Astyanax mexicanus: one gene and its partner. The protein of the gene in region 2 interacts with the protein of the main gene of each other region in a biochemical or structural test. Links are inferred from orthologs where the notes say so. Each region holds a gene or a part of one and is shown on either strand. Other genes may lie near its edges.

What was found. The genes of interacting proteins can lie anywhere in the genome.
Region 1: the proteins of peli1b (region 2) and ube2v1 form a complex in vitro, tested with the Homo sapiens proteins (3 studies listed by BioGRID). The link is inferred for Astyanax mexicanus from reciprocal best matches to the Homo sapiens genes PELI1 and UBE2V1.

The regions. Positions count from the first base shown.
Region 1 is NC_064431.1:14,975,499-14,986,474, reverse strand, and holds the start of ube2v1 (ubiquitin-conjugating enzyme E2 variant 1), read left to right. Parts: upstream 1-5,169; 5' UTR 5,170-5,301; coding exon 5,302-5,323; intron 5,324-7,530; coding exon 7,531-7,679; intron 7,680-8,525; coding exon 8,526-8,651; intron 8,652-10,745; coding exon 10,746-10,892; 3' UTR 10,893-10,976. UniProt on the Homo sapiens protein: Has no ubiquitin ligase activity on its own. The UBE2V1-UBE2N heterodimer catalyzes the synthesis of non-canonical poly-ubiquitin chains that are linked through Lys-63.
Region 2 is NC_064421.1:30,823,943-30,835,769, forward strand, and holds the start of peli1b (E3 ubiquitin-protein ligase pellino homolog 1b), read right to left. Parts: upstream 5,193-11,827; 5' UTR 4,731-5,192; intron 1-4,730. UniProt on the Homo sapiens protein: E3 ubiquitin ligase catalyzing the covalent attachment of ubiquitin moieties onto substrate proteins. Involved in the TLR and IL-1 signaling pathways via interaction with the complex containing IRAK kinases and TRAF6.

The DNA.
Region 1 (10,976 bases), on a different chromosome or scaffold from region 2:
GAAGTTTGCTACTAGTGCTAAGTGTCCTAAACGTCATTCTCCTTCTTAGTACACTATATGGCCAAAATTATTGGGACGTCTGCTAAACTCATTTATCTTTACTGTCATAACTTAAATGAAGGGTATTAAATTAGTTTATCTGTGTTTTGTTGGAGTAAAAGATTCTGGTGTAAAAGCCTTCAGCAACAGGAGTACTGGATAGATCTCAATCATTCTCAGTTCTAGAGGGCTTCATACTCCTAGACTGGTCCACACCTCGCATTACTTGGCACGGTACCAGTAGGTCAATGTTGATCTGAGTCCTATTCTATTGGCAATCCTTCTCTACACTGACTAGACAAGCTGTTTGTGTTCATTTGCACATCTTTGTCAGCGGAAGTGAGTGCAACCTCCAAGGACCTACATGCCTTCATTAATTAGGGGTATCCATACATATATGGACATATATAGTGTATGTATTTTCAGTCTGAAGGTTTTGGAGATGGAACATTGGTAGGGTTCTGGTTTGTCATGTAGCGCTGAAAGGTTTGAACTGGTTTGAAGAAAGTTGGTCACATGGTCTAATGTCAAAGGGGCCTTATGTCTCTCCTCGCCTACGTCGTGCACCAGTCTGACTATAAGGGGAAATCTATAATCTTATTTTCTTATTTTTCTTCTTTTTTTTTTAAGCAATCTAGATAGTGAGACCCAAATATGTCATACATTTAATGAGACTGTGCGTTTAATGTGTCGACACCTTTAAAGCGTTTAATCCGCTATAAAATGCATTATTTATTTATTTATTTTAATAGATTTACAGCAGGTTGACTCTGTTTAAACACTGTTGCAGGACGTGTATATTCATTTTAAGCTTTTATTTTTATTACATTGCATCTTAATTAGGCCTGTCACAATAATTACGTTTGGTACAATATCAAAACATAATTTATATAAACAAGGACAGCCCATTATTGTGAATAGAGAGAGAGGTTATATATATTCAATACAAATCTGCATTGTAGATTAATATTACTGTCATCCAAACTATGAAGAAAAACATATAGAATTATTAATAAACAAAACAAATAAGTGTTTTGTTGTAAAGCAGTAGAGTTGGTTCAGCGCTCCTAAAAAAGGCTGTAATTGCAAGATTATGCTGTTTTATTATCATTATATGATGACATGATAAAATGACAGATCTTGACAAATCCTAAAATGACAATAATACTGTTTTTCTCAATTATTTGTGAGTATATTAATACACCGTCCATATAAAGCTATTGTGACAGGCCTATTCAGAATAGTCTGCCTCATCATTAAAACGTCATTTCCCTGTGCTAATATCAATTAAGTGACAACATTTGCATTGTGGGTCATGTTAATACACAAAAACTAAAGAAATACAAGAATGCTCGTTCAAAACTCTAAATATACAGATGATTAAAGAGATCATTGACGATTATTTCAGATGCTGCCCTTTGTGGTATAATTACTATCATTGTGTTCATATGTTCATAATTTTTATAAATATTTGTATTATTGTGACTGCTGACTCACCCACACTGTTCAACAATTAAACTACTGATTTCTTCTCTCTCTGTATGCGTGCATGTCTGTGTGTGTGTGTCTGTGTGTGTGTGTGTGTGTGTGTGTGTGTGTGTGTGTGTGTGTGTGTGTGTGTGCGCGTGTGCGTGTGCGCGTGCGTGTGCTAAAGAAAGCCATATACACTCATACCTGCTGTTCATTTCTGTAATATAAAGTTGTTTTTAATATTCTGAATTTTGAACATCAGTAATCAGTCGGTTCAATATCTGTGAACGAAATTTTGTGAGCAATCAAAATGGTTTAATTACAGATGTTTTTTGTTTCTTTCTTTGTTTTGGTTGTGGTGAGCAGAAAGAAGGGGCGGGGTCTTTTTATATGCAAAAAAAATCTACAAAAAAAATGTAAAAGGGGAATCAAAGAATGGTGAAAGGGTTTGTAATGTATCCATTAAAAAGATCTAGTTTTAGGACTGCATGTTAATAACGACACTGTACTAACAACTAACGTACAGCTACTCTGTAAATACTGTTATTATTATTATTACCGGTATTATTATAATTATAATTATTATTTTCATCCTGTAATCTCAACTGATGAAAGTGATGCAGTGTGAAAAATTGGGTGAGATTGTATTTTTTTTTTCATTATTGTCTTTTGCATTTGTATCTTTAATTTTGGTTCAAACTCTCAAACTAAAATTCTACTGGGGCTTTGTTTTTCTGTTTTAAGTGCACATTCATTGCTTTGATTGATTTGTAGTGAAGGAAAACCAAACCACCAATTCTCTTCATTTTATTATGTCATTTAAGTAAAAGTTAATATAGTTTGTATATTTATATTTAATTTTTCTTGTTTTGTTTTTTTCCAGAATACTTCAGCATTAATCTGTCATGCTTTTCTCGTAAACGTAATAGACACATTAACTTAAGAAGATTTACAGCAATAATAATATCAGACTCTATAAACGATATAGACTGTAGACTATAGATAGAAGCCCGTAAGGAACTGTAGCTACGCTTTGACCTGATATTTCTGGAGCAATTTTTTTTTTTCAGTGCCATATTTTGACTAATGTACTTGATTTGTTTGTGGTTCTCAGGTATTAATATCTGAATTGTGTATGTTGGCCTTTTTATAATTCACTTTGCTTTTAGAGAAAGGAACATTGGTTATAATAATATTATTTTATTACTGCATTATACTATAATTTAGCTTGTTTACAACCAGAGACAGGACCGTGTAACATTTCAGTTAAATTTTCTGACCGAGTCTAAATTTGAAGACAGTAAACTGGGGTTTCAATCATCCAATTTTATTTTTATTTCTTAAAAATTGCCTGATGGAGGAAAACCTATTTTTATACAAAATATACAGTCAGAAAATTTAACTGAACTTGTTATAAGATGCAAAAAAATCTAAATAATTTCAGAAATTGCAAGAAGATTTGTTTTCTCATTTTTCCTAGAAAATTGGAAGACTAAACTGATGAACATTAAACTGACCAAAAATGTTTAACATAGAAAGAACATTTTTTTCCTTTTTTTTTTTCTAAAAGGCTAATGTGCTAACATGCAACATCAGAACAGCATGAACTGTTAGCTTTTATCTAGTGACACATTTGCATCCAGTTATTCTTTAAATTCTGAGATTTTATTTGGTCTCCAGGTCTTTCTCTACTGTAAAATCCTTGTATAATAAAAAACATTGAGTTTCTCAAAGCCTATGCAGAAACTAGCCGGCTCACTCCAAACCGCCGGCCGTCACTCCTCCCGCCATGCCGGAATCATTTTGTAACATTAAGCTGTGGTGAAGACAATTTAAGGGAAAGAACACAAAATCAATATTGTAATTTAATTGAATTAGTTTTTGTTTGTTTTAATTTTGTTTTGGGGTTGTTGTGTTTTTTTTTTTTTTTGCTTGTAATCTAGTTTGTTCAGGATGGGTCTTCTTCCATTGTATGTTGTCATTTTCAGTGGATGTGCAATAAATTATAATTCAAGGCTGTTTTGTAATACAGCTCTGTGTGGGTGTCTTCTAATTTTCTACAATAAGTGGAGATATGAATCATAAGACTGCAATTGTTAACTATTAAAAAATTAACTGAACTATAGGAGATATAGAGTGTTAGAGCAGCAGAACATGCTAACCCAAGCATAAAATATTAATATTAGTGTGTATTTTTCCTGTGGGGGATTATTTTAATTTATTAATGTGGATGTGTTTCGGCTGACCGTGTGTTTCCGGTTCCTGTTGTACCGCTGGAGCCCAGCAGGGGGCAGAAACTCATCATATAATGATCATCGATAATGAAGCTGCAGTCCTGCTGGAATATACTGCACACATACATACATTTACTTTAATTATTTATTAATTTCAACAGTCACGGGGACTGTTGTTTACAATAATTGTTTATAATTGTTTACAATTAACCTTCACTGAAGGTGAACTTTATTTACCGTGCAGCTAATCAAGCCAATACATCAAATATGGACTAAAAATTAGAGACATTAGACATTGTCCTGCTGCAGAACCCAAGTTCGTTTCAGCTTGAGGTCTTGAACAGATGGACGAACACTCTCCTTCAAGAATTTTTGGTTGACAGCAGACTACATGGTTTTATTTACCACAGCAATTCGTCCAGGTCCTGAAGCAGCAAAACAGACACAGACCATTACACTACACCCACCAACACGTTTTACTGTATAATATGGTGTTACACCAGATGTAATGGGAAACACACCTTCAAAAACGATGTCTAACTTTTGAGAATCTTTTGGTCTACTGGGTATGGCAAGAGAAATTGAACTCAGGTGTGATAAACCACAGTTATGTTTCAACTGGGGGACAAACACTTTTCCACACAGGGTAATGTAGGTTTGGATTTCTTTTCTCCCTTAATAATGAAAACCTTCATTCATAAACTGCATTTTTAACTAATATTTGAATTTGTTTAATAATCTGAAACATTTAAGAGTGACAAACATGCAAAAAAAAAAAAACATTTTTAAACCACTGTAAATATATTTATTGCAGTATATTGATATATAGTATTGAAGTGGGTAAAATTGGTTTCTTGCTAAGCAAAACATTTATTTATATAAATGTGAATTACTGGCATTAACAACTACAATAATAATAATAAAATAATAATTATGATTATTATTCAAATAAACAATTAAATGATAATTAAATAAAATTAAGTAAATGCTAACAGTGTCCCAGAGTGATCAATTTACTGCATTATGCTCGTAATTATTATTTATGTGCTGTTTGCAAAAACAGTGTCAGTCCTGGTGGGAGGAAGAGATGAGGTAAGGTTTTGTTTTGGGTTGGCGATTCAATATTATTATTATTATTATTATTATTATTATTATTATTAATAATACAAATATTATTATTTTCATTGTATTTGTAACTTGTAATGTTATCATTACTGCCTTTTTGTTCATGCTCTATTAAATACCTCATTGTGGCCTGTTATTGGTGGTTTTGATAAACAATTATTTATTATTAATTATTATTTTTATTTAATTATTATTATTATTATTATTATTATTATTATTATTATTATTATTATTATTATTATTATTATTATTATTATTATTATATTGCAGTGAGTGTAGGCAGTAGGGGGAGAGGCAGGGCGCGGCGGATATTGGGACAGACCCAGAGTGAATCAGGACTGAGGGAGGCGCGCTATACGCGTGAACGCGCCCTCATCCGCCGCGTGCCCGAGAAGAATACGGAGCGTGCGCGCTCCCGCTGCTCAGCGACAAGATGGCGGCGGCCGCCGGATCAGGTAAACCGACTCAGAAGCTAAACGTAGGTTTAATCCGGGCGGACTCGCAGAATCAAACCCGAACCGGAGCCGCACCGGAGCTGCGCGCGGAGCGAACCCGCCGGTCTGGCGACGCGGGTTCCTGCGGGGAGGCTCAGCGCGCGGGTCCGTGGGCGCGAGGCGGCGGGGCTGAGATCGGGATTTTACCGCTGCCGCCGCGCGCAAGGCTTAACCTGTTCCGTTGGGCCGCTTTCACGCGCTGTTCGCTGTAAACTCGGTGTTTTAGGGGGAGCGGGGTGAGGGGGAGGTTGGGGGGAGTGGGGCGTGGACCGGCTCGCGAGCTCGCGTGGCTGCAGCGCGATGACGCGGAAAGAACTGGAAGCTTCTCGGAAACAGCAGCACACCTGCGCGCGCGCGCTCCAGCCCGCCCTGATCAATATATTAGAAAGAGCTGATTAAACTCCAGAGATTTATCATCATTATCAGGATTTATCCGTTTATTATTGATTAGGATCAGGGAGCAGGAGGGTGGGCCGGTTTGTGAGATGGCAAGAGTTGTATGACTGGAGCTGATGAATATATTGATTGATTGATTGATTGATTGACCGATTGAATGATTGATTGATTGATGGATGCACAGGGAAAGCAAATACATACACTAGTTAGTTGATCTGTAGAAATTCAGATTGATGCACTGTGAACGGCTGATGGAGGTCCCGTTGCTTGCAAAAGTATTAATTCCCCTTGAACTTTTTCACGTTGTGTTATCTTCTAAACACAAACTATAATGTAATTTATTGAGATATTAAGTGATAGACCAACACAAAGTAGTGGAACGAAAATTTAGAAAACCTTTTCAAGGCCGCAAAAGACTTGAAACCTTCTATCAAGACAATGACCCTAAACATACAGCCAGAGCTACAGTGGAATGGTTTAGATCAAAGAATATTCATGTGTTAGAACAGTCCAGTCAAAGTCCTGACCTAAATCCCATTGAGCTTCTGTGGCAAGACATGAAAATACAGACGCTCTCTATCCAACCTGGCTGAGATTAAGCTATTTTGCAAAAAAGAATTACAAAAATCTCAGTCTCTTGGTGCACAAAGCTAGTAGAGACGTACCCAGAAGACTGCTGCTGTAATTGCTGTAGAATGTGGCTCAGTATTGATATAGGGAGGCTAAATACTTCTACTCTTTGCACTTTTCCGATTTTTATTTGATTGCATGATTTTGAAAATTGTGTATAATTTGCTCATTTATGTTGGTCTATCAATTAAAAAAACATAAATTGATTATATTGACTAATTGTTGCAGCCCTAGTTTAAATACTTTTGATTGCAAAATAGACTATTTGATGAGAGATATCAATAAAGGCACTATTATTTGGGTGCAATGACATTGGCATGGTGGTGGTGATGGTGGTGGTGTATGAGGTGTTGGTGTGTGTTGTATATATTGTAGCAGATTGGTAGGAGTGTCTGACAGAGTTGAGGACAGTGAGTGAACACAGTTTAAAAACTCCAACAGCATTGCTGTATCTGATCCACTGGTACCAGCACAGCATGCACTCATGCACTAATCTCATGTATGTGGAGGTGTTATTGGTATTGAAAGGTATTGTGAGTTTCTGCAGACTAATTTGGCAGTCAGTCTGCAGTGCATGCAGATGAGCTAGTCTGAGCTGCACTGCAGGACTAAACCAAACCTCCAGGATGTTTTCGTGACCCCCCTCTAATCTTGATTCTCAGCAGTGGTGCTTAAATTCACTGCAGCAGGAATCTAAACAAATCCAAACCACAGGACTATTTTTTTGCCACACTACCCCCTTCATACCTGTACTGTTTTAGTGATATGCATTTTGTGAACATTGTAGTGTGGGATGTGTTTTCATCGCTATTGTTTGCTGTAACAATTTTCTATGTGAGTGAGGTTTAGACATATGCTTTCATTTACCATCTAAGTTGGTGATCGTCCTTATTAGGCTTGTCTCTATGTACCTTTGTTTAAGCTTTTGGGACAATTGGGATGAGTTTCAGTGCACAGCACTGAAACATTTTTAGGGACTACTTTTTTATAGCATATGTATTCCTCCACCATTTTAATGATATGTTATTTTAAAAACACATTTTTGGATTCAGAATCTTCTCAAACTTGGGTGAAACAGTGTCAAGTATACTGTGTATTCATAATTATTAATGTAATAACTTTTTGCTTTTTTATCATTTTAGGCGTCAAAGTTCCTCGTAACTTCCGGCTGCTGGAAGAGCTGGAAGAAGGCCAGAAGGGCGTTGGTGATGGAACAGTGAGTTGGGGTCTGGAGGACGATGAGGACATGACACTCACACGCTGGAGAGGCATGATCATTGGACCTCCCAGGGTGAGTGTTACTGCAGAATAATCAGACATCTGTGCGACCAGCTAAAGTACTTCCAACATTCTGAACTGAATTATATTTGGTTATGTTGGGGTCAGCTTGTTTTTCTCCTTTACATTTTACTAATGCACTGCACTTAAATAATACTTTTAAAGCAAAGATTGTGTTGCCGTCTCTTGTCACAGTGAATAAATCTGGTGATTTTAACAAGGAATCAATTGCCCGTTCTGTTTGCCTACCAGCTCTCATTTTATTTCGATTTCTGCCTTTCCTTTGTTTAGCAATGTGTTAATGAGCAGATTATTATTAAGTTTGCTATTCGAATATCCCCATGTACACTGATCTGGTATCAGCAGCCTGCTACCATCATAACGTGGGTTTTAACTTTTAACACAGCCTCTGCAGTTAGTAACTCTGATAATCACCAATAACTGTTGTTGAGAGACCTTTAGAATGAATATATGTGGTTTTGCAGGAAAGGTAGCAAAAGCACACTGATACTTTTTACTATAGAATTTTGGCACCTCCCCACTCAGGAATACTCCTACTTATAGTTTTAAATGAAACTTTTTTTTTTTGTCTTTTTAATTATTATTATGTTTAATAGTTGTGTTAAAATGGCACCAAAACCAAAATGCTACTGTGTCAGTGAAAATATAAATTACAATAGTGATGGGGTTGTTTTTAAAGGAAGTGGTTAAAGTCAGCGCTGTTGCCTACTGACTTGTGTGCAAATGATGCCAGATCGTACAAATAAAATATTGATTGAAATTTTATATAAATGAGAGAAACCTATGATTGACATTATGATTATTCCTGTCACTCACATAATTCTCTGTACATCTCCAGACAATCTACGAGAACAGGATGTACAGCTTGAGAGTGGAATGTGGACCTAAATACCCAGAGACGCCTCCTTTCGTACGATTTGTGACCAAGATAAACTTAAATGGTGTGCATAACTCAAATGGTGTGGTAAGTAATGATGATTTGATTGTGTTGTATTGTTATACAGTGAACGTTTTTACACTATAGTACAGATCTTGCTAGATTAGTGTAGTTAGATTGTGTACAGTATGTAGACCTTCACCATAGTACAGAGTATAGGACACATCCTGCTCTTTAGTAACATTAGATTGTGAAAAAGTACCCATACATTTATTATTCAGCAGTTTTTTTTAAATAGCTTAAATATAGGGGTGTGACGAGACACTAATATCACGAGACGAGACACGATACTGGGTTCACGAGAACAAGACGAGATTGAATAAAAAGAATAAACTATAACTGACTTTTATTTGACAATCATATAACGCAAACTTAACAGACTGGTTGCTCTCACATATTGATTTGATAAGAAATAGAAATAAGAATAAGGATACAAAATAAAAATAAAACTTATCTAGGTCTTTTATAGTGCAAACAATAAGTGCAAACCACAACCAGTCATATTAAGTTTATGGTTTGTGTTTTATTTCTCCTAAATCTCTTGTAGTTTAGCTATGCATAACCATAACCAGTCATATTAAGACTATGCTTGAAGTGCAAACAGAGACAGAACATTTTTTTAAATACAGTACAAAGTTAAGGGATTAGTACAGCTGCCTATGAAACAGTCACATGTACGATTTACTTACAGTATTTACTAGGGCGGTGATTCTTTGGGACAGTAAGAGGACTGTCTCACGGAGCTCTTTAACTGTCTCGCGAAGCTCACCTACTATCGCGCGGAGCTTTTTAACTGTATCGCAGAGCTCATACTGTCTCGCGGAGCTTTTTAACTGTACTGCGGAGCTCATACTGTCTCACGGAGCTTTTTAACTGTACCGCGGAGCTCATACTGTCTCGCGGAGCTTTTTAACTGTATCGCAGAGCTCATACTGTCTCGCGGAGCTTTTTAACTGTACTGCGGAGCTCATACTGTCTCACGGAGCTTTTTAACTGTACCGCGGAGCTCATACTGTCTCGCGGAGCTTTTTAACTGTACTGCGGAGCTCATACTGTCTCACAGAGCTTTTTAACTTTACTGGGGAGCTCACCAACTGTCGTGCGGAGCTTCTTAACTGTACCGCGGAGCTCATACTGTCTCACGGAGCTTTTTAACTGTACCGCGGCGCTCATACTGTCTCGCGGAGCTTTTTAACTTTACCGCGGAGCTTTTTAACTGTACCGCGGAGCTCACCTACTGTTTTTTTTTTTGTCACACCCCTACTTAAATATATTTATAAGATATTATAAACCTTGCTTTTTTAACATCCTAGCAGACGTGCCAACAAAGCACACTCTACAGCTCTCTACAGATCTCTAGAGCTCTTACCTTTTATTTAGAAACCAGCCAGTTTGTAAAGAGGCAGTAAACTAGTGTGACTGCAATTGAATTTCAATTGAATTCTCACTTTTATAAAATGGGGCTTTGAGTGGTCCAGCAGACTAAGGTGCTGCCACTATGGTCCAAGAATCGCTGGTTTAAACCCAGGGTCATGCTGCTTGCCATCGGTAGCCAGAGCCTGAGAGAGTACAATTGGCCTTGCTCTATTTAGGTAGGTAGATGGCGCTTTCTCCATACAATACTCCCAAGTTGATGTCAGCCAGCAGAATGCATCTGTGAGCTGATGCATCGGAGCTGAGTTGCTGCACTTTCAGTCCTTTTAGCCTACCCAGTGGTTTGAAAAGAGGCGCTGGCACTTTCAGTGTTTAAACACAATTTCAGATGCCAAATATTCAACACATCCCTGTTTTCTGCTCTTTTAGCTAGGCAATATTATGATGTTTTATTACACTTTATTATGTTTTAAGCATATCAAGAATGCTAACAATGCAAAAGGAACACTGTCCTAACTGAGAGTTTCATTGCAAATATTGCAATTGATTCAGTTCTTTCTGAAATAATTATTGTGAGTCACAAATATATTTTTAATACTGTGAGGTTTATTACCCTGGCACCCTGAGTTTCTATCACCCAGGCATAAATAAGCCTCCATACTTTCATTACAGTACAGTTTCTGCTCTATTTTTATATATATTAATATTAGCAATATCGATTAGCAATGGCGATGTTTGTTCCCTCAGGTTGACATGCGCGCTGTGTCCTCCTTGGCCAAGTGGCAGAATTCCTACAGCATCCGGGTGGTTCTGCAGGAGCTCCGGCGGCTCATGATGTGCAAGGAAAACATGAAGCTCCCCCAGCCCCCTGAGGGACAGATCTACAGCAACTGAGCTCTGAGCCGACCCATCACCCCCTTGCTTATCCCTCTGTTCTCTTCCATTCAAACACACACACATAGAAAAACACAGTTTCAT
Region 2 (11,827 bases):
CTTGCCTGTCCACAACAGGAAACTCAAACCAGAAGAAGATAAAGAATAATTCAGTGAATTCCAAATTCTTTAGAAAATATTGGACATCAGCTCACAATTTTTTCTGCTACATATAGTACTAAACCACCACCCGCTCATGTCCCCACTGTCTGACCCACTTTCCACTACAATCATAATCCCCTAAACTTCACCACGCACAGGCAGACCAAACTTGCAGGATAGCCACATTGGAAAAAATATCTGGGATGATGCAACACTGCAGATTCCTTCCTGAAAATAAATAGTGATGGGGAATAGATGAAGCAAACACTACACTAAGCTGCAGCTTTAAAAGAGCATGTCCAGTAAAATTGCTAAAACTGATTAAAAATATTCAGATTTTCTTCTCTATAATATGAAACATCTGAAACAAAACCATCAAATTTTAATTTGCTTATGATGAAAATATGCCAACAACCCTTACATTACATATTTTAACAATGGAACAATCCTAATAACAACTATAAACTATATATATCCTCAACAAGTTGGTAAATAAGGAGACTATTCTGCTGGTTTCACTGACTATTATCATATATGACTGACTATAGTAATATTTATACAACAGAATTTGTCTTGCAAGTTCAACATAAGTTTATACAACTATACAACACCTGATTATTTCCATCACGCAAGTGTGATGCATCAAAACAATGCTGCTTGCCAGCTGTTTCTCATGACAAATGTACATCCTGGAGCTATCTGGCACCATTCCCCCTCAAAAGTACCAGGTTTCTTCACACGGTATCCATTTAACCAGCATAACCTTTTCTTTGAATTAAAGAAAAGGTGGGCAACACACTTGCAAATCTTTTCCGTTTTGGCTTCTCCAACGGTGGCGTAGCATGAGAAAGTGAGTGATGTTACAGGGCAAAAAAAAAAGTGTGTGACAGAGCTGTATCAGCAGAGGAAATAAAGTTATGACCGTGTTATGACTGATTCATCCTCAGGCTGCTCGAATTGAATACATTATCATGGTCTCAAGGACTCTTTATTTGGGCAGTAAGTGTTGATTAGCTCTAATATTAGATTAAAAGTATTCTTGATAACTACTTTAAATTAAACTATTTTTGTTGAGAGAATTCTTTTTATAATACATGTGATTAGATGCCTAAAACCTTTATAGAGCTGTGGCAGAAGAGTCTTCCCTTCCGGTCTTTTTTATCAAGCCATTATACGTCCTCACAGCTATCTGATCTGCAGGTCCAGCTGGATTTAGAGGAGATATCACCTTTCCACGCCAATGCTGACACTGAGCTGATCCGATCTATGAACTAGAGTGCAATCTACTGCCTAGAGCAGCTAAACATGAAACAAACACGGTAAGTGCTGCCACCCCATAATGCTTTAAGTTAGGCAGCTGCCAGTTTTTCAGCTAATAACCCTAAATTGAGGTCAAGAAAATCCCCTGACCCTTGCTGCTCCCAACATCAGTCACCCATGCTTTTCATTACTGCTTACAATGTTTAAAAAATGTAAATGTAAGTAATTAAAATAACTTTTTAGATTCTCATCAATTAACCCCTATGACTAGATGTTATGACATACACATTTCTAAATCTCTTACATAAGACTGTCTGCAGACCAGGTTTGACAGGATACTCTGCTTCATATGATAGATATCTGACGCCAGACTAAAACGACAGAAAAAAATAAACAACGAAAGGCCAGCTATGAAGGTCTAAGATCTTAAGTTCCAGTAAAATATTTATGCTACTCTCTTCTCCCATTCCATTCCATTTTTGAACAATTTGAGCAAACTGGCTTTGGGTTTCGAGTGAATCAGGATGACGACACCAGTTTCGGAGCGGCCCGTGCTGAGTTTCCCCGCAGTAAGTCAGGTCTCTTATCTATATTTCAGAGTGGAAAGTGACACCACTGGCTGGGCGCCAGCATTCAAGGACCCGTGTTTATTTGATTGCATTAGAAAGGCATGTTCCACACCCTTTTCCTCCAGCCAATGCACTCCGCAGACTCAGCTGGACCAGGAAAAGGAGCTCCATCAATGTCCAGGCTGCACAAAAAGGTGTTTCAACATGGGTCGTTAAACATTTTAACCCATCCGTGCCCAACATCGTAATTTAAAATGATGAGGAGGAAAAAAAAAATCTCTATGCGTGTTCTGGCTGGTCTGAGACGATGTAATTTTGTATAAATGTGCCACAGATGAACAATCTAAAAGTGTGTTTCAGATATGAGAGATTTAGATTTTAATTCATTCTAAATTTTGAATAGATTTTTCCATTTTTGTTGTCGTTAAAAAAAAAAATAGGCCCACAAGTTACATTTTTTTCTGAACCATACAGTTTAACTGACGTGATGAACTTCTTTAGATTTTAGTACAAAAAAAAAGATATATATATATAATAATTAGTTGGTAAAGCTACAAAAAAGCAGCATGAAATATTTTAGCTTGTTTTCACAAAGCAGAAAGTATAATAATGTCCAAAGAAATCGAGCAAGCGAACAAGCTCACCAATGTCAGAAACCAACAGTACATACACATCAATGATTGGCAACCAGAGCTGAAGAATAATAATTTAAGCAGAGCTCCACACAAAGCGGACTCCTGGTCGTCCATAAGGCCTGAGGGAAAGGGGGGGTTAAGGATGTCAACAAAAGTGATTCAAAGCAGCACGTCAACACGGAACAAAAGCCCCATTCGGCCAGCCAGATGCTGAGCCTGGAGGACGCTATCTGACTATGCAAATCACCCCAGGGTGGGGGGGTGAAATTCAGCAGAACAATAGCCCGACACAACAGTCCAGAGGGCAATGCAAATAGTCAGAAGCCAATCCAAACTGCACTGTTAAATACATAACCACTTTATCCAGTCATCTAAAGCTGTACTTAAACATTATCATTTACATTTAGGACAGGTCCAACAGGTTGCTACGCAAAAGCTGTATACTGCTGCAAATGGAATGAACCATTTAAGCCATTAACTATTAAAAACACTACCCTAGAACTTGTCTTGAGGGTATCATTTCTAAAAAGTCAAATAAATTAAAATAAAACAAATCTAAAGTTTCTACTGAATTGTGCTGATGATGACTGGTTTTGCTGACATACAATCATGGCCACCTTGACCACACAAACTCACTGAGTATAACTGAGCTGGTTGACCACCATGAGAAGTTTGTCCACCAAACTAATCCACCACTATGACCAGCTTGACCAAACTAATCAAAGAGTAAGATGATAGCTGTGATTTTCTTTACCAGATCCATAAAACCAGTCTAATTGCATTACCAGGAGCACAAATTTTTAATGGAATTTTGATTATGTATAATATATATTACAGTCAATAGCTAAATGCTCATTAGCATTAGCATTTGTATCAGTCGGAATATATTTACGGACGTAGTCCTGGATTTTGTACTAGGCAGCATTGCAGCTGAGATACAACTCCAATTTCTACTCTTAAAAAAAGTAGCTATAGATGTTGGTAACTTATGTATTTAATGGTACGTACAATTCTGTGTAAATCAATGGTAATATAGGACTAGTCAGAAATATATTAGGGATAATGTGGTCCTGGTAATATGACTAGTATAGATCTGATATTATAACTTGTAGGCCTGTCAAGATAAGAATTTAGTGTGGACAATATTTCATACTAGAAATTATTGCGATAAACATTATTATTGTCATTTTAAGACAATTAAACGACACTGATATAATGATAATAGAATAGCATAATAAAGCAATTATAACTTTTAAGGGCAACAACATTTTAATAAATAGTAATTTACAGTTTGTGAAATATATAAGCTACTTTTTTTTCTTCACCTACTGCAGTCAACACTGTGTATGTGTATGCATGTCACTTATTATGTTAGTTATTAAAGATATTATATTATCTTTTATAGAGTATATTATAACTGTCATGTCCATTTATTGTACTTTAAGTCAATAATGTAAATACACTGACAGGCTGAACTACATGTTAAATAGTTGATATCTGAACTTACAAGCACTGCAAGGCAGATATTTTATGTATTATTACTGTAATTTAAGTTTTTACCATTAAAACACAGTAACTTACTGAGTTAGTACTTGTATAAATGGTTTAGACTAAAACGTATTGTGTATATTATAGAATATTAATTACAACAACTAATTATATCACGATACAATAAAATGCTGTCAAACTGTATTGTCCATCTCTTACTAGCTAACTAGCTACATATTGCAACAAAAAAGCTAATTCTGTGGAAAATTGTATAAAAAAAACATGGTTAGCATTATAATTGACACTTTTTATTAATTAACCCAAAGAACATAAGTGTATAAAAGGTGTGTTTTACACAAAACAGCTTGGTAAGTCAACTAAAATGAAAAAATAAAACAAAGCTGACAGCACCAGATACTTACAAATACGGTGATATCGTGATATTGTGTTACTATAGACTAAAAAGCTTGTGCAGGTTATAGAATATTACGATAACAAATTAACGCTGTATCACTATGCAATAAAATACTGTCATACTGTATTGTCTTTATTACAGCTAAGAAGCTAGTTAATTCATGGGAAAATGTTAACATAACATGGTTAGCATTTCAATTGACGAATTTGGCCAGCTAACCCAAAGAAAATAAGTGTATGAAAGATGTGTTTTACACAAAAACAGCTTGGAAAGTCAACTAAAACGTAAAATGAAACAAAGCTGACAGCACCAGATACTTACAAATTCGCTGGTTTCTTGTTTTTATATCTTTAGTTGTATGCACCGCTTTTCTTCTAGTCGTTTCTCAGAGAGGAGTCCGTTACAGCCGTTAATAATTTTAAATTAAAAAACTGTAAAAATGGTCTGTTAGCCGTTAGCTCAATAAAACGGTTCACACACACACAATACTACAGCTAGCTAGCCCAGTTGCTAAGTTGCTAACAAAGGCAAGGTATGAGGAGTTCTTTCAAATGTCAGAAGAATAAACACGCGAGCAGCGCGCTGTGTTTCTGGGTCTGACCCGGTTTCTGTATCTGACCCGGTTTCGTGAAACCCCTGCTCTCTAAATTCTCCCCACAGACGGCAGGTCATAAATAAGTGCAGCAGCGGCGGCGGCGGCGGCGCTCCGCTCTCCCCCTGCAGCTCTGAACATAAACACACACTGTGCTGCTGCTGCTGCTGACTGAGTGCTGCTGCTGCTGTGTAGTGGATGGAGAACGGGGAGAAAAGCTGCCAGCGTCACTGATTACTGTCAGATGCATTGTGGGAAATGTAGTTAGCCGGCTCAGCTGGCTAACAAAGAGAAACCTCAGCTAGTTAGTTAGCTGGTTATGTAGACGCTAACTTTAGGAAAAATGTTAATATTTTCTGCCAAACTCTTTTGAAATTCCTTTTTTTATTCAAAATTTTCTCTCAATCCTGACTAAAAAATAGCGTTAAAATACTGTAGCTGACACGTTCTTGAAAATGACAATGTTTTTTTTTAAATATAGACTGTTTATAATAACTATTTTATCATTGAAATATAAAAATTACTTAATAAATAAACATTAAAGTCTGACTTTTCACACATATAAACTCATATAAAATCCATAGAGTTTAATATGAGGTCGGCACACACTTTGCAGCTATAAAGGGTAACTAAACCCCCTGACTCCACCCTCAGCTCAAATAAAAAAAAGAAGAAAAATGGGAGGGGTAGTTTTTTAAGAAACACTGGGGTGATGTATGGGTTTAGGGGCGTGGACAGAAGGGAGCGCTGATTAAGCTGAGCAGTGTGCCTCTGATAGTGGTGAGACGAAGATGGTTGGACGTCCACAGGGGCCGGTATTATTAATTGACTGATTTGCATACCAAAGTTCACAGACACAGCATCCTCGCCTATAGCACAGTTGAACCTGTGAGGGCACTGCAGAGTTGGAAATGAATGCAATAAAAGTGTTTTTTTAAAGGTTAGGACAGGTTTATAAAAAATTAAGCAGGTTCAGGGGTTAAATCGATTTATTTAAATCACAGTGTTTCAATACACTGCCCTGAGAGAGCACAATTGGCCTTGCTGAGTGGGTAGATGGCGCTGTGTACCCACAGCACTCCAAAGGGTGATGTCAATCAGCACAAGGAGTCTGTGAGCTGATGTATCAGAAACAAGTCGCTGTGCTTTCCTCCAAGTGCGCTGTGATGCTACTCAGCAATGCTGCATCAGCAGCAGTTTGTAAAGAGGCGGTGGCCGACTTCACATGTATCGGAGGAGTCTTTACCCTCCTGGTGGTGGGGCATCAACACTGCATAAATTGGGAGAAAAAATGGGATTAAAATTAAAAATAAAATGATTTGAAAAAAACATGTGACTGTCCCAAATCAAGTTTTGTTACGTCACACAGTTTCGAAACGTTTCATGTTTCAAGTCCCATGTTTTGTACCGAAATGTTTCTAAATGAGAGCTGAAAATCTTTGTGACAAACTGTGTTTGTTGTCAACATGACAAGCGACAAGATTGGCCCTTATTAAAAGAGAAAAAAACATTGTATTTGAAACATTGGTTTTTTTTGTGGAGATCACACAAACTGCATTGCTTTATTATCTATTGCTCATTACTGGTCATACCATTATTTTACAAAAGCGAAATGCACCCTCCTTGGTCAATACTTAGTAATTTAACATAAAAAAAGTGGATTTTTGTGGCAAGGGCGGAGGAAGAGGTGTTAATCTCATTAATATTCTTCAATTGGAACCATATTTTATGCATGTGTCACCACCAATGCAGAATTCTTTCTTGGTTTCTTTCATGCAACAACTTGACTGTAAATGTTCTTATTAAATGGACACCTGAACATGTTTGCTTTCTTCTCCTTCCTACAGCATTCTCCTGCTTTGAGGTCATCTATTATTATAATGTTTAGTGTCAGGCAGCTGCTTAGAGAAGCAAGCCCATGGCCGATGATTGTTGAGATTAGGTTTGAGGATAAGGAGACTTTACAGAGGTTGAAAATGTGCAAAATCTGATTCTTTCTAACAACGACTATAAATAAGCCATTGCCCTAAAAAATTGATTAAGCTCTAAGACCTTGATAGAAATAGTCTGAGAGCTACTTTTTGTATGTTTTGTATGATGCTACTTTACTTTTGTACACTAAACCTGCCTAAAATGTTTAAAATAATGTTTCATCTTCAACTTTTTAACCGTTTGGAGATCAGTTCATCTTCTACTCACTAAGAATAGAAATGTTACCTTGGTCAGAGGCAGTGGTGTGCTCAGGGGGGAAAAAGGGCACTTTTTAGCGCACGTGGAACACTTCATTATAAAAAAAATGTGATATATCATTGATTTGGGCTAGAGCGGCTAGTTTATTTGGTGACCAGTCGGCTAAAGATGCTTAGTAGTTTGGTGCTGTATGAGACATTTTACTGCACAACAAAATGATTTCACGTTGGACTTAGAGGGTAAACGGTACGATTTTACTTGATGTGTATGTTACCTGGCTGGTGGGACACGGGGGAGAAGAAGCCTATCTGTTGCCGTGCGTGCTGTGCTGAAGACTCGCTGAACTGAACTGCTGCTGCAGCGCAACTAATGTGCCTTGCGCGCCACCGCGCGGGGTCACGTGACAGAGGAAGAGAGAGGTCGGGTGTGTGCGAGCTGATTTCAGGGCATTCTGTTTTCACTCGTTTTTAATCGCTCAGGTTTTCAAAAGATGATTTCAAACCGGCCTCAGTAAAATCTTAATAATAATAATATAAAAAAACGAAATTTCAAAGGGCACTTTGGTTGATAAAGGGCAGAGTTGGTGGTGCTTAGCACCACCTGATGTCTATGTCTGCACGCCTCTGGTCAGAGGTGACCAAACTTTTGAATGCCACTGTACATGCACTGTTTTGTTTAGTCCGATTCATAGTTGTCATTGCTGCTAGGTTACATGTTCAGCCTCTTAAGCTCTAAATCTCTGTGAGGAATAATAGGCCACCATGATCACCGTACAGCAGCTCAGGATGTTCAGACAGGCCAGACACACATAAACTAAACCTCTGACTGAACTCTGTGGTGAAGGTAAACAGAAACACACACACACACACACACACACACACACACACCCAACAAACCCATGCTCTGTCATAAGGCCCAGGGCTATTCGGGCACATTAGCCAATATACACCCACATGCAAACAGAGAGGTCTGGTTTGTGACACAATCCAAAGATGAGCACACTGTCGTCCACTGGAAAGCATTTTAAAAATACCTCAGGAGTGTCATGTGACTATAACTGATGCTGTCTCATTACACCTGTAAGTGCTATCTTTTTGCAGTAGCTGATAAAATCACAGTCCCAATTAGCACTTTAACACAACTCTGTCTTTCTCTTTTTCTATCTTTACTTTTATTACTATTTTTATGCTGAACATAACATGATACACTTACCCTGTTCAAAAAGAGCCAGAATAATGAAAACGAATTTGCTTGTTTTTTTTATTTTATTTATAATTTGACATTTGAGATGGAAGTCCAACTAGTCTCAGCAGCCACTTCGGTAACAAAAAACTGTTTTGTTTAGTAATTGTTGCTAAAACCCAACTTAAACTCGCAATCATGCAAGAGTATGCTGCACGTTTGCACTGTATGTTGTCTACTGTATTGTTGTTCCATGTTGCACCATGGGTCCGGAGGAACATAGTTTCTCTGCATGGTGTACCTAAGCCACGTGCCTAAGCCATGTGTGTGTGAATGTATATAAATATAAAATTATTTTTTAATACATTTTACATTATTAATGTGCCATACCATATGTCTGAGCATAATACGTAAGTATTTCAGCATAAAAGCACATATTTGAAATTATGTATCATTACTACATTATTAACAAACCAAACCGTGTGAAAATGAGGTAAAAAAAAAAAGAGTTGTGATTATAGGTGTATTAAACACCTTCCTCAGTACTGCTAAATGCACTGAGGGCGCATGCTTGACTCCTCCATTATGGCGGCCGGCTGACATGCCAGCTTCAATAGATGGCGTCAGTCGAAGCGGCATCTGTGTATACATGTCTATGGTCATTTCTCTGCAGTGTATGCCATATTGTGTCACAGGAAACAGTCACCCCAGTTTAGCTTTCTACTCCTTTAGTTAACTGCAGTTAAACTACATGACAATTTATGCAACACTTTTCACGAGAAGACGCTCCTGTCTAGGTGTTAACTTCTGTGAGATGGTAGCAGTTCCATCTTTGTTCATTTTTTTATGAATTTGCTTGAGTATTCTGACTGATAAGTAAGGCTTTACTGATCTTGTATCGATAAGCAAAGCTTTGCTTTGTAGGCTAAACCTTTCTTGTGTAAAAAAAAAAATCTCAGGTATTTTTGTCTCTCTTTTCCATATATTGCCATTGTTGACAGAATGAAAAGGGAAGTTTTTTTTGTTAAGTAATGCTGGGCACCTGTGTAAAGAATATCGTCGCTGTCCAATGAAAAACACTTATCTCCATTTTTGTAGATTTATGGTTTACTACATAATTTGAACAGACAAACTGTCCCTTACACTGTGCCAAAATTTCTTGATGAACGGACCAATAGAAATGCTTCAAAATGACCTGAAACAAAACTCTTTTTACATTGACTTTCATTGAAAGTTTACAAGGTTTTTTTCTCTCTCCTGTAAAGTTGCTGTTTTGGAGATAAGTGTTTTTCACTGGACAGCAACGATATTTAGAATCACCTGGGGTATAAATTGTGTTAATAAAAATGTTTTGGTCTAAACTCTAGCTTTGATCCTTAGCCTTTCATTGGGGTGTACTCATTTTTGCAACATGGTCTTGAATGAATTTCGTAGAACAATTAAATTTTTATTTGTGTAAATTAACAAATCCTGTCTGCAATCAATGGTCCAAGTTTGAAGGAGTATTTTATAGTATATTATTAGTATAGTATCTCATAAAAAAATCAACTCTGAAAGGAAACTAAAGTTTTTATGAAACATCTGTTGGGGTTTACACATTTATAAAATTAGAATTTTTATTTTACAAAACATAACAGGTCGGCAAAAGCTGTAAGTACCCTCTTAGCTGTGGCCCAACAGTTGAAAACCACTTCTTTAAATACAGTTCGGACTAAACCCAATGCAAATATATGCATTTAATTGCATAATAATCATTTAATTATGCAGAAGTAAAAAGTAATCAGTTGAATTGCCCATTAAGCCATGAGTTAAAACTGAAGGACTAAGCCTAACTGATGTTTCTGGCCTCCTGATAAATCCAGCTTTATGAAATTCCCCTCTGGTCAGCAGGTCAGAGCTGGGCCATGTTATGACATTCTCATATTCCAGTCCAGTAATAATGACGCCAGTCAGGCGAGTAAACAAATAAACAATCCAGTACACAACCCAGTCTGAGATTAACTGTCACGCGTCATCACATCAAGACGCAGTGACCTCGGGTCAGTGGACACACTCAAACACACACACAGACACACAAGTGCTCAAACACACACCCTGCATACCTGCGATGGCAAAGATAAATCAGTTTACATCTGACTGTCATTTGTATTTACGTCGCCACAGCAACAAAACCAACACCTCACCAACACCGTTTCTAAAGTTCTGAGCCAGGAAGCATGAGGGCACGCACACAGGAACACGCACCCACACCCACACCCACACACACACACACACACACACACACACTCAAGGTTCCATACAACACTTTGATCTTTCACACTCACATGCATTATGACATCACAGTGCAGCTCAATAATAACTATTCCTGTTTAAAATGCAGTTTATATGATTTATATTATAACAGCCAGATACACAATGTTGTGTTAAAAATAAAAAATGCAAAGAAATTTTTTAAACAATAGTGCTGTTTAGGTGCTCTATGTCTGTGAGTTTTACAAGTTGCATTACACAAAAATAGGTATAATTTGCTCCTTGGCACTTCTTATATTTGTGGTGTGCCATTTACTTTTTCTCCACTGCTGTGAATACTAACAGAACCTTGAACATCCACTCATTGGCAGCTGTAAACTTGCAATTGTTGACTAGCTGAGAGACACAGAAGTAGCATCTGAAGTGAAGGAAATATGCAGACTGAGGCAGTAGAGTATAATTACAGGATTTTACACCAATATGATTTGAGATACATAGCATCATAGTTCTGGAGCTTCACAAAAACCCTTTAATAATAGGACTCACAAGTTTAAAAATTGACTTTAAGTTTTTAGTTGGCCTAATTTGAGTTATATGAAATGTGTATTGTTTTGAGATCAGAGATACAATTTTTCGACTCTCATTTGGAAAATGTCTCCATCTCATTTTGGGTCAGTCCGGATCTGTTACCGATGTGATACCATGAAAAACATAGCAACAGCTGCGTCAAACCAAGAGCTGGGGGATGAGGGGAGGGCATCGCAGGACAGAAATTGAGGGAGATGGAAACAGAAGAGGAACAGAAAGTTGAGGGGTGGGGTGAGGGACCGTGGTCTGACAGGATTTGGGTTGGGGAGGGGGGATGTGACTGGATTAAGTGATAGGTTCCCCGCTGGCATGGTTAACAGAACACTTCATATCCGTACAGTTCTGTGTTTGAGAGGGGGACTCTCACTGTTGTCAGCCAGCCATGGCAACTGTAGCCACGGGCACAGATATGTTGACTGAGTGTTTGGGACGTCCCGAAGTAGGAAGGGGTAAGAAAACGAAGCAGTCTCATTCTGTACATGTTATACATGCATAAGTCTGTGAGTTTCAGTGCTGCAGACTGCTTGAAATGGTGTGAAAAAGTTCTTGTCCAAGGTTTAGAGGCACCAGGGTTTTCAGAATGCTATTTTCTCTGTTTGAGGCTCATATCCAGAGT